3 linked regions of the Kluyveromyces lactis genome follow. The protein of the gene in region 1 purifies or fractionates together with the protein of each later gene. This does not show direct contact. Links are inferred from orthologs where the notes say so. Each region holds a gene or a part of one and is shown in the gene's direction. Other genes may lie near its edges.

Evidence for each region.
Region 2: the proteins of YTA7 (region 1) and POB3 purify together in Saccharomyces cerevisiae (affinity purification with mass spectrometry, with the first as the bait; 3 studies listed by BioGRID). This does not show direct contact. The link is inferred for Kluyveromyces lactis from reciprocal best matches to the Saccharomyces cerevisiae genes YTA7 and POB3.
Region 3: the proteins of YTA7 (region 1) and RSC58 purify together in Saccharomyces cerevisiae (affinity purification with mass spectrometry, with the first as the bait; 3 studies listed by BioGRID). This does not show direct contact. The link is inferred for Kluyveromyces lactis from reciprocal best matches to the Saccharomyces cerevisiae genes YTA7 and RSC58.

What each region holds. Positions count from the first base shown.
Region 1 is NC_006037.1:857,081-860,842, forward strand, and holds the start of YTA7 (chromatin segregase YTA7), read left to right. Parts: upstream 1-1,377; coding exon 1,378-3,762. Other genes in the region: GOT1 (Got1p), read left to right, coding at 399-426, 615-1,009. UniProt on the Saccharomyces cerevisiae protein: Functions as an ATP-dependent nucleosome disassembly factor that helps evict canonical histone H3 from the 5'-end of genes upon their induction.
Region 2 is NC_006038.1:445,296-448,333, forward strand, and holds POB3 (FACT complex subunit POB3), read left to right. Parts: upstream 1-836; coding exon 837-2,504; downstream 2,505-3,038. Other genes in the region: DAK1 (dihydroxyacetone kinase), read left to right, coding at 1-394. UniProt on the Saccharomyces cerevisiae protein: Component of the FACT complex, a general chromatin factor that acts to reorganize nucleosomes. The FACT complex is involved in multiple processes that require DNA as a template such as mRNA elongation, DNA replication and DNA repair.
Region 3 is NC_006042.1:1,593,448-1,596,581, reverse strand, and holds RSC58 (Rsc58p), read left to right. Parts: upstream 1-817; coding exon 818-873; intron 874-1,092; coding exon 1,093-2,545; downstream 2,546-3,134. Other genes in the region: ATP-dependent RNA helicase ECM16, read left to right, coding at 1-501; putative divalent metal ion transporter SMF3, read right to left, coding at 2,874-3,134. UniProt on the Saccharomyces cerevisiae protein: Component of the chromatin structure-remodeling complex (RSC), which is involved in transcription regulation and nucleosome positioning. RSC is responsible for the transfer of a histone octamer from a nucleosome core particle to naked DNA.

The sequences.
Region 1 (3,762 bases):
ATCTGGCTTATGCGTGTCTTATATATCCATGACTCGTCTAGCAGATGAGTGAACCATCATATCCACGCAATAACATGCAAATCCACGGCTCTAAGGTGGAAAAAGGAACCCTAAATGGTGTATAGTAATGGTGGCTTCAAGGGTATAAACCATTGGACTTAATAGCAACGGCCGGTAAATTTGCTGATTCAAAGCCTCGAACGATTTTCGTTACCCGGAAAACACAATGACCGGGTAACACTTCACGTCTTTTCAGTCCAGAAGCCCAATCGCGAAAAGCGATGGGCTTCTGGACGAGCGCAGTAAATATGTGCACATTAACGCATCAAGATAGGCACTGTTTGCCTCTCTATATATGCTCATAGTATTTGATATACACGCAACAATAGCACATAACAATGAGTAGTTGGCTATCGGAGTCACAGCGTATGTTAAACCATGTATGCGTTTACTATTATTTTTGGTTTCCCTTTACTAACATTTGTTATTTGAGATCGGCCAGTAAACTCATGCGAACATAAGGGAAATAGAAAGACGGATTGTTCAATCCGTCTTTCTATCTCACTTTTGTTACAGTACTTGCCAAAATCTTGAAATCCCACTTATCTCCCCAGAATTCGGTGCTGTGTTCACGTTCGGTGGATGTTTGTTCTTCCTTTTTGGTATCTTCACCTTCTTCGATAGAGCACTATTGGCTGTTGGGAACATCTTGTTCCTACTCGGCGTGCTGCTGATGATAGGCCCACACAAGACTCTCAAATTCTTCACTAGACCGACAAAGAGACGTGGGACCTTGTTTCTCGTGTTTGGGATATTCATGATCTTATGTAAGTGGACGTTCCTTGGGTTCATCATCGAATCGTTAGGTATAGTCGGTCTATTCGGCGACTTTTTCGGCGTGATCCTCCAATTGCTGAGGTCCATTCCTATAATCGGACCAGTACTGTCTCACCCTACCATTGCACCAGTCCTAGACCGTATAGCTGGTGTGTCAGTGCTTCCTGTGTGATGTGTGAGTGTGTGTATCTATATATATATGAGCTGTATTCGGGAATGGTTACCCTGTCCAAAATATGTCGATTACCCTACCTGAATATACCTCTAAATAAACAAAACCAAAAAGCTCCCAGAACCAGTTTAAGTTGTGTTCAGAGATTTATAACGATAATATACGGCATTAAACACAGCTTTTAAGGATCAAATTGGCGTTTTGGGCCATTAGACAAGCCAATTGGGTTAGGTTCGATTGTTATTCATTAAATCAGAGACTTTGTGGGGTGAATTTTGTGTGTCTCTGTCGCATTCTTTTTGATTTCTACAGTTCCGAAACTGCAAAATAAGAAAAGCCTTTTAGAAGTTTAGATCAAAGGAATCAAAATGACGCTCCATAGCAAGAGCGGTGACGATGAATCTGGCACTCATACTGAGTTTTACGATGATAATGGGATTGCTCATACCACACCGAGGCTGCTGAAAAAAGTTAACTACGCAGAGATTGAGAATGGTTACGATTATATCGAGGAATCTGATACGAATTCTGGAGGAACAGCCGCCGTTGGTGCTAACTATTCAGATACCGGTACTGGTAGGCGTCGTGGTAGGCGTCCCGGTCAGAGGAACAAGAGGGTTCGTGATGATGACGACGATGATGACGTTTCGTTCCACGAGGAAGATGTAGACGATGATGACGATGACGACGACGATGTTGATGACGGCGATGAGTATATCGACCCAGCAGATGATCGCAAACGGATAGCGAGAAGAAGAGATAAAAATTTCATTGTCAAGGACGATGAGGATGGATCTGATGGGAATGAAGATTATAGTATCAAGGAAGAGGATCTGGATGAAGATGAAGATGATGGAGATGAGGATGAAGAGGATGACGATGGTACTGTGAGACGTGGAAGAAGACCAAAACGGTCTGCAGCAAGAAGTACGCGTAGGGAACAGCCTCCTCGGAAGTTAAGGCCGCATAGAACCAGATCGTCTCGTGTTGTAGATGACGATGAAGACGACGATGATACGGTAGGTAGCGGTCGTCATAGATCGGCAAGTGCACGTACTAGAGAAGCGCTTACACTTGAGGACGAAATTAGAGAATTACAGGAGGACAGTCCTATCAGAGAGAAAAGGTCTTTGAGAGAACGTACAAAACCAGTAAATTACACGATCCCACCACCTTTGTCTGAAAATCAAATTGGTGCTATGGAAGCTACTTCGGTGCCAGGAATACCTCCAGGAACACTTCCATACCAATCATCCGTTTATCAGTCCCCAAGAGGTAAACGTGGTTTACATTCGGGTCAAAGTTTTGGACCTATTAGAAGGTTATTCCCTACCGGTGGTCCATTTGGTGGAAACGATGTTACGGCGATATTTGGTAAAAACGTTCAATTCTACAACTCTAATCCAAACGCTCTAAACGAACAGTCAAACAAATTTTTGGATTCTGATTCATCCGATGACGAAATCTTAGCTTTGGGTATGAAACCGAAACCAAAGGATCCATCAAAACAAAAGAAGAAAAAGAAACCGGAAATTGCAGATTTGGACCCACTTGGTGTCGATATGAACATTAATTTTGATGATGTCGGTGGTCTAGATAACTACATTGACCAATTAAAGGAGATGGTGGCATTGCCATTGTTGTACCCAGAACTTTATCAAAACTTCAATATTACTCCACCTCGTGGTGTCTTGTTCCATGGCCCACCAGGTACAGGTAAGACTTTGATGGCTAGAGCATTGGCCGCAAGTTGCTCAAATGAGAAGAGAAAGATCACTTTCTTCATGAGGAAGGGTGCTGACATTCTTTCCAAATGGGTTGGTGAAGCTGAAAGACAATTAAGGTTATTGTTTGAAGAAGCAAAGAAACATCAACCGGCAATCATTTTCTTTGATGAAATTGATGGGTTGGCTCCAGTTAGATCTTCCAAACAGGAACAAATCCATGCCAGTATCGTGTCGACAATGTTGGCATTGATGGATGGTATGGATAATAGAGGTCAGATTATTATAATCGGTGCTACGAATAGACCAGATGCAGTGGATCCTGCTTTAAGAAGACCAGGTAGATTTGACCGTGAGTTCTATTTCCCTCTACCAGACTTGAAGGCTAGAGATAAAATTTTGCATATTCACACCAAGAAATGGAATCCACCTATTTCAGATCAATTTATTTCAAAGCTAGCCTCCTTAACTAAAGGATACGGTGGTGCTGACTTAAGAGCACTTTGTACAGAAGCATCTTTGATCAGTATCCAAAGAAAGTTTCCACAAATCTATAAAAGTGAAGAAAAGCTAAAGATTGATCCTAAATCAGTTAGAGTCAAGGCTAGAGACTTCATGCTTGCACTAGAAAAGATTGTACCATCATCTGCTAGAGCTACTGGCTCTACAGCGCAGCCTTTACCAAAATATGTTGAACCGCTCCTCGCTCAACAATTTATTAACGTCAAGGATCAGCTCAACTTACTACTACCCAAGCAAAGCACAAAATTGAAATCGGGTTCCTCCATTATTCAATATTACTTAGAAAATGAGGATCTTGAGGATTCTGATGACGAAGAAGGTACTGGATTCGATAAGCATGAATTTTTAAAACTTATCAAGAAATCTCGTGTCTGCAAACCGAAACTTTTGATCACAGGCCCGCCCGGTAACGGGTTACAATATATCGCTTCCGCCACACTACACTTTTTGGAAGATTACAATATTCAAATGCTTGACATTCCTACCTTGGTATCGGAGAGTAGTAGA
Region 2 (3,038 bases), on another chromosome or scaffold:
ATCCGCAATGGGTGGTACATCCGGTGGTTTGTACTCTATATTCATTTCGGGCCTTTCAAAAGGAATTATTGAACAATGCGGAGAAAATGATGCGGTGGACAAAGAAGCCTTCGCCAAATCGCTAGAAGTTGCATACGAGACATTGTGTAAATATACTAGAGCTAGGCCAGGTGATTCTACTATGATCGATGCCTTGGAGCCATTCGTGAAAGAGTTTAGTTCAACTCAGGACTTCCATAAGGCCTTTTCCAAGGCGGAAGGAGGTGCAGAATCTACAGGAAACTTAGAAGCCAAGTTCGGCCGTGCATCTTACGTGGAAGACACTGAAGCAATTCCGGACCCAGGAGCTATCGGTTTGGTCGAATTCCTCAGGGGTGTTGATTCCAAATTGTAGATTCATTTTCAAATGAGCTGCCTCCTTTATTCTTTCCACCTAGTTATTATTTTATAACAAACTATATACAGCTTCCTACATTAACCAAATTTATGACCTAGCGGTAATTGCAGTATCATACATTGTTCCTCCGGCAACAGGGGGGTGGGCCTCGACCTGATAGTTCTTCGTGTGTAAAAACTGTCTCTTTTCCGTTCACTCCCCCATCTTACCTCTTGTCAACGTGACGCGAATTGGAAACTTTACTAGAAATGAAAATGAAAAATCGCCAAAGTGTTTAAGATGTTGTTAAAACATGAACAAATAAGAAGACATATGAAACCGTTAACGGTAGGCAGAGTTGTTAGCCCATAGTTTACGTTAGACAGGTCAGTATTACTGAAATCTAGTGATCTTCGTCTTGGATACCTACTTTTTATTTCTTATATTGGGATAGTGGAGAATGAGTACAGATTTCGATAGAATTTATTACAACCAATCCAAGCTCGGTGGACGTTTCCGTCTAGCTGAAGGAGGTCTTGGTTGGAAGGCATCCGCTACAGGTGGGTCAGCCTCTACTCAAAATAATGAACCTTTGCTATTGGCTGCAGATGAGGTTTCTTCCGTTCAATGGAGTAGAGGATGTAGAGGCTACGAATTGAAAATTAGTACTAAGAATAAGGGATTGATTCAAATGGATGGGTTCCAACAAGAGGATTTCAACCTATTGAAGAATGACTTCCAACGTAGATTCAACATGCAATTAGAGCACAGGGAACATTCTTTACGTGGTTGGAATTGGGGTAAATTGGACTTAGCTAGAAACGAAATGGTTTTTTCATTGAACGGTAAGCCAACTTTTGAAATCCCTTACACGCACATCAATAACACTAATTTAACAGCAAAAAATGAGATTGCATTAGAATTTGACACCCAAAATGAGGCATATAATCCTGCAGGTGATGAACTTGTTGAAATGAGGTTATATGTTCCAGGCACAGTTGAAGAAAATGAAGATCAAGATCAAATCATGGTAAAGGACGAAGCAGAAGCAGAAGACGGTGTTAAGTCGGAGGTTAAGACGGAAGAGGGTAGTGAAGAACCAGACGTTCAAGAAGAGAAGACTTTAGCAGAATATTTCTACGAAGAATTGAGATCTAAGGCAGATATCGGTGAAATTTCTGGTGATGCCATCATTTCTTTCCAGGATCTGTTCTTCACTACGCCAAGAGGCCGTTACGACATTGATATCTACAAAAACTCTATCAGACTTAGAGGTAAGACTTATGAGTACAAGTTACAACATCGTCAAATAAACAGAATCTTCTCTTTGCCAAAAGCTGACGACATCCATTACTTGATGGTTTTATCGATTGATCCACCAATCCGTCAAGGTCAGACATCCTACCCATTCTTGGTGTTACAATTCCAGAAGGACGAGGAAACAGAAGTCCAACTAAATGTGGAAGATGATGAGTTCGAAAAGCTTTACAAGGATAAACTAAAGAAACAATACGATGCTAAAACTCACATTGTACTAAGTCATGTCTTAAAGGGTTTGACAGGAAGAAGAGTCATTGTTCCTGGTGAATACAAGTCTAAGTATGACCAATGCGCGGTATCCTGTTCATACAAAGTCAATGAAGGCCACTTATACCCATTGGACAATGCGTTTTTGTTCTTGACGAAACCAACCCTATATATACCCTTCCAAGATATTGCTGCGGTCAATATTTCAAGAGCTGGTCAGACATCTACATCAGCCAGAACATTCGATTTGGAAGTTGTTATGCGTGCCAATAGAGGTACTACTACTTTTGCTAATATTTCTAAAGAGGAACAACAACTTCTAGAGACATTCTTGAGGTCCAAAAACTTGAGGGTAAAGAACGAAGATAAGGAAGCAGAACAGAGACTGCAGACTGCCTTCGGCTCAGACAGCGATGATGATGATGTAGATATTAACATGGGTTCTGCAGGTGAGGATGAAGAATCTGTAGATGAAGATTTCCATGCGTCCGACGAAGATGACGATGTCGCTGAAGAATTTGATTCAGAAGCATCCGCCTCCGATTCAGAAGGTGAAACCTCAAAGTCTGAAAGACCTTCCAAGAAAGCCAAGTTGGAATGAAAAACTCATATATCATGTATTAGTACAAATAAATAAATAAAAAACTATATACACTCCTCGCGGTATTTGTCGAATAATGTGTCTTTCTTTTGTTTGATTGACTAGTTCTTTAATTTTTAGTACATCTAAATGGCTTGACAAAAGAATAAGGGTCCCATCCAGAGAACTAAACTTCAAAGGGTTGAGAGAAGGATAATTTTGCTAAGCCCGTAAAAGTATCGACTGCTTTTTTCATGCTTCAATCATTTAATGGTTCTGTAAGAGTTATTCTATGACTTCTGGTGAAAGATCCTTAAATCAAGAACTAGAATGATGAAATGAATGCACAAAGAAATTTTGATCCAAGATAACTCGCTTCATACATTCGAGGTATATTAGATATTAGTATGATAGCTACAGACGGTACCTTAACTATAGAATATATCATAGAGATTCCTGGAGTTGACGAATTGTCCGGGAATAGTTTCTTTTTCACTATAAGAAAAGATTCATAGCTAAACGACAATGAAGGGTCGGAATTGACTTTGAACTCAG
Region 3 (3,134 bases), on another chromosome or scaffold:
GAAGACGTTACTATCAACAAAACCAACATTTTCAATATCCCTTATGTTCCAGTCCTTGCTGAGAAAACATCTTCTTTGGATGATATCTTTGTTTATATTCATCCAACCTCAATTCTCAACAATTCTGGCGAGCAACCTCCGAAATACTTGGTTTTCCAATCACTACATGTCAATAAAAATAATGAAAAGGCGAAAACAAGGATGAAGTCTCTTTGTGACATTAAAAGCACGCCATTGGCTAACGTTGCAAGAAAGGGCTCGTTACTCACTTACGGAAAACCAATCACTGGACAAGGTTTGAAACCTATTGATTTATCGCCAACAGAAAGATTCTGCTATGTTGTTCCTAGATTTGGATCTTGCAATGATAGCGACATCAAGATTGGTTGGGAACTCAATCCTATCCCTGTTCATCAAGAGAAAGAGAAAGGTGTATGGACGGTCAAGAAATTCCTTACTCCAAAAGCATTTAAAAACTATCAAGCTTCGAAAAGACCCTAGAACTACACCAGTACAATTTATAGAATTAATTAACTCATATAATACCAATTGCATTGGAATAATTAAAGGCCAATACCTAGCTTGTTAGGCTATGACTGGGTACTGTTGCTGTGACAGGAATCTCTGTAAAAGCTGTCAATGGATGCCAGTTGGATCATGATGTACGGTTTTGATGTTTTTCATAATGAAAACACAGGTTTTGGCGCAGGTTGATCAATAAAGGCTTCTTACATTACTGCTGAATGACAAACTGATGGGCAGTGAGAGAGTACAAGGTCTGCAAACTCTTTTATAGTGGGCTAAAAATAAGTAAACAATGGTAGAGCTGCTAAAAGAGAATTTTTTTCAGAACTTACTAACTGTTTTAAAAGGGTATGTGAATATAAAAACAACACATTTTTCATTCGAATTATGTTGCATTCGCACATGTTTTTGTCTAGAATCGGTGATAATAATAAATTAAAGACCAGCATACGATGACCTGGGGTTCCTCAAGTCTTTATTTTATGTTTTCAGTGTTAGATTTGCCAAAGCATGATTTTATTTTACAATCAAATACTAACAGTATTAATTTTATTTTGATTTAATTAGTGCATCTTCGAAATGCAGAGCTTTAGATGAAAGGTTTCCTAAAGAATTCTACGAGCCTGATCCAACACACATATACGATTCTTACGTGAAGTTTCTAAGGGCCAAGTTTGATGAAAATCCAGATATCAAAATAGCAGAAGATATTGATTCAATTTCCATATCTGATAAATTTGCTAGTGGAGATTACCAGAAGCATGAAGATTCTGTTTATCGGATTTACCATGATATTAAATTAGTATGCTCCATTTTAATTCACTACTACTCTCAAGGAACGAGGTCGTACCAAATGGTCGACAAATTCTACAAATTTGCAGCAGAATTGATTCTAAGGGAATGTTATAGAGTTGGAGCCAAACTGGTGGGAGACTTCGCGGCAGACATTGACTTCAAAGAAAGTGATTTTTCAAAAACCATTTCCAATGATTTCCTTAAAATTAGTCAAGTTTATCAGCTCCCCGTTACTGAAACTTACCATACGCAGACAAAGGAGGGACATTTGTTCAGTTCGGTGATAACGAGGTCAGTACTTGATCAGAGGCCAAAGGAAGTACCATACGAGGAATGTGAAATTGTGAAAATTATTCCTCAAGCAACATCCCAACCAGCCAATAGATTGGGATTCGTAGCAGCTAACACTTCCAATGTTCCTGATCCAACAATTTCTCCTACAGAAATCATGACCTCCTTTCTGCATCCGAATTGGTACCCGCTACCCACTACTAAATGGTTGGAGTATGGCGACTATCAATCTTTTGCTCCGAGTATCTCGGAGTTCAAGTCTGTAACAGATTGTTCCCGTAAAGGAGACATATGGTTGGAAAAGGTCGGATACAAAAGCTGGTTAGAAATAGAATCGAAGAAGAGAGGGGCTGCGGAAGCAGAAGATAAAAATGTTGAAGATGAAAAAATAAAGGATGAGGGTATTGAAGATCAAAAGGTTGAGGAAGCAAATGACAGTATCGGATCTGACAACCAAAAAAAGGAATCAAATGAAAATGATGAAGAGCAGAATGTTGCCACGGATGAAGAGCAAGATACAAATGAGGAGGGAGATGAAGTAATAGTGACAACGGAGCCAGCTGGACCTGTCAATATTAATTTGAAAAATCTTTATGACTGGCAACCTAGCCATGAGATACATGATGAAGATATAACGGCTTTTGAGCAAGGTGAACAGCAAAGGTTATTGACAGAGATATTGCTAAAGCTAAAGGCATGTAAATCGAGAAGGGTCAAGCTGAACAAGATATCAAAACCAACAAGTGAGGAAGTTTCCCTTTATCATAGAGCACAGAACATCTTGAAAGAAGCTCTACTTTCTAAACAGATTGTGACATCTCCAAAATTGCACGAGAAACATTTCCCAGTCCTTCAGACTAATTATGCCGGATCAGTTCCTGTCGTCAAGACCATATCGACTAGAAAAAAGAAAAGTAAGAAAGTTATGCAGTGAAGTAGATATTTCCGTATAGAATCTATAAATCGCAGCTGTGGTAGTGTGCAATAATCTGTGGGGCTAGTTTATTATCAGTGATAGCTAACGGTTACTATTATTTGGAGTTATTTTCTGAAACCATCAGTGTTTCGATTTTTTTACTTCCTCAATTACTTTCGAAGGTAAATGTCCAAGAACAATTAAAGATTATATAAAGAACAAAGAAATTAACCACAACAAAGGTACAAGAGAAGAGATCAACAAAGCAGATCCAATAAGTACAATTTACGAATTGATTATAGATTAAACAGAATCCATCAAAACTATATAAAATGCCTACTTAGACTTAAAAATGCACGTCCGCTCCCATGAGGTATGAAAATACAAGATAACAATTCAATGAACCAATTGTCAACCATATAACAAATGAACTGATGCTCAACAGTCTTCCATTGGTGTAGTCAATGGACTTAACGCCTTTCGATAATAATCTACTTTCTTCAGTACTGTCTGCAGATGCGGGTGCAGAATCCACATCCACAACGGTCATAATTTTATGATTCATAGTGAAGTAAATCAAAGGAGCAGAAACGATTGGTAAAATCAA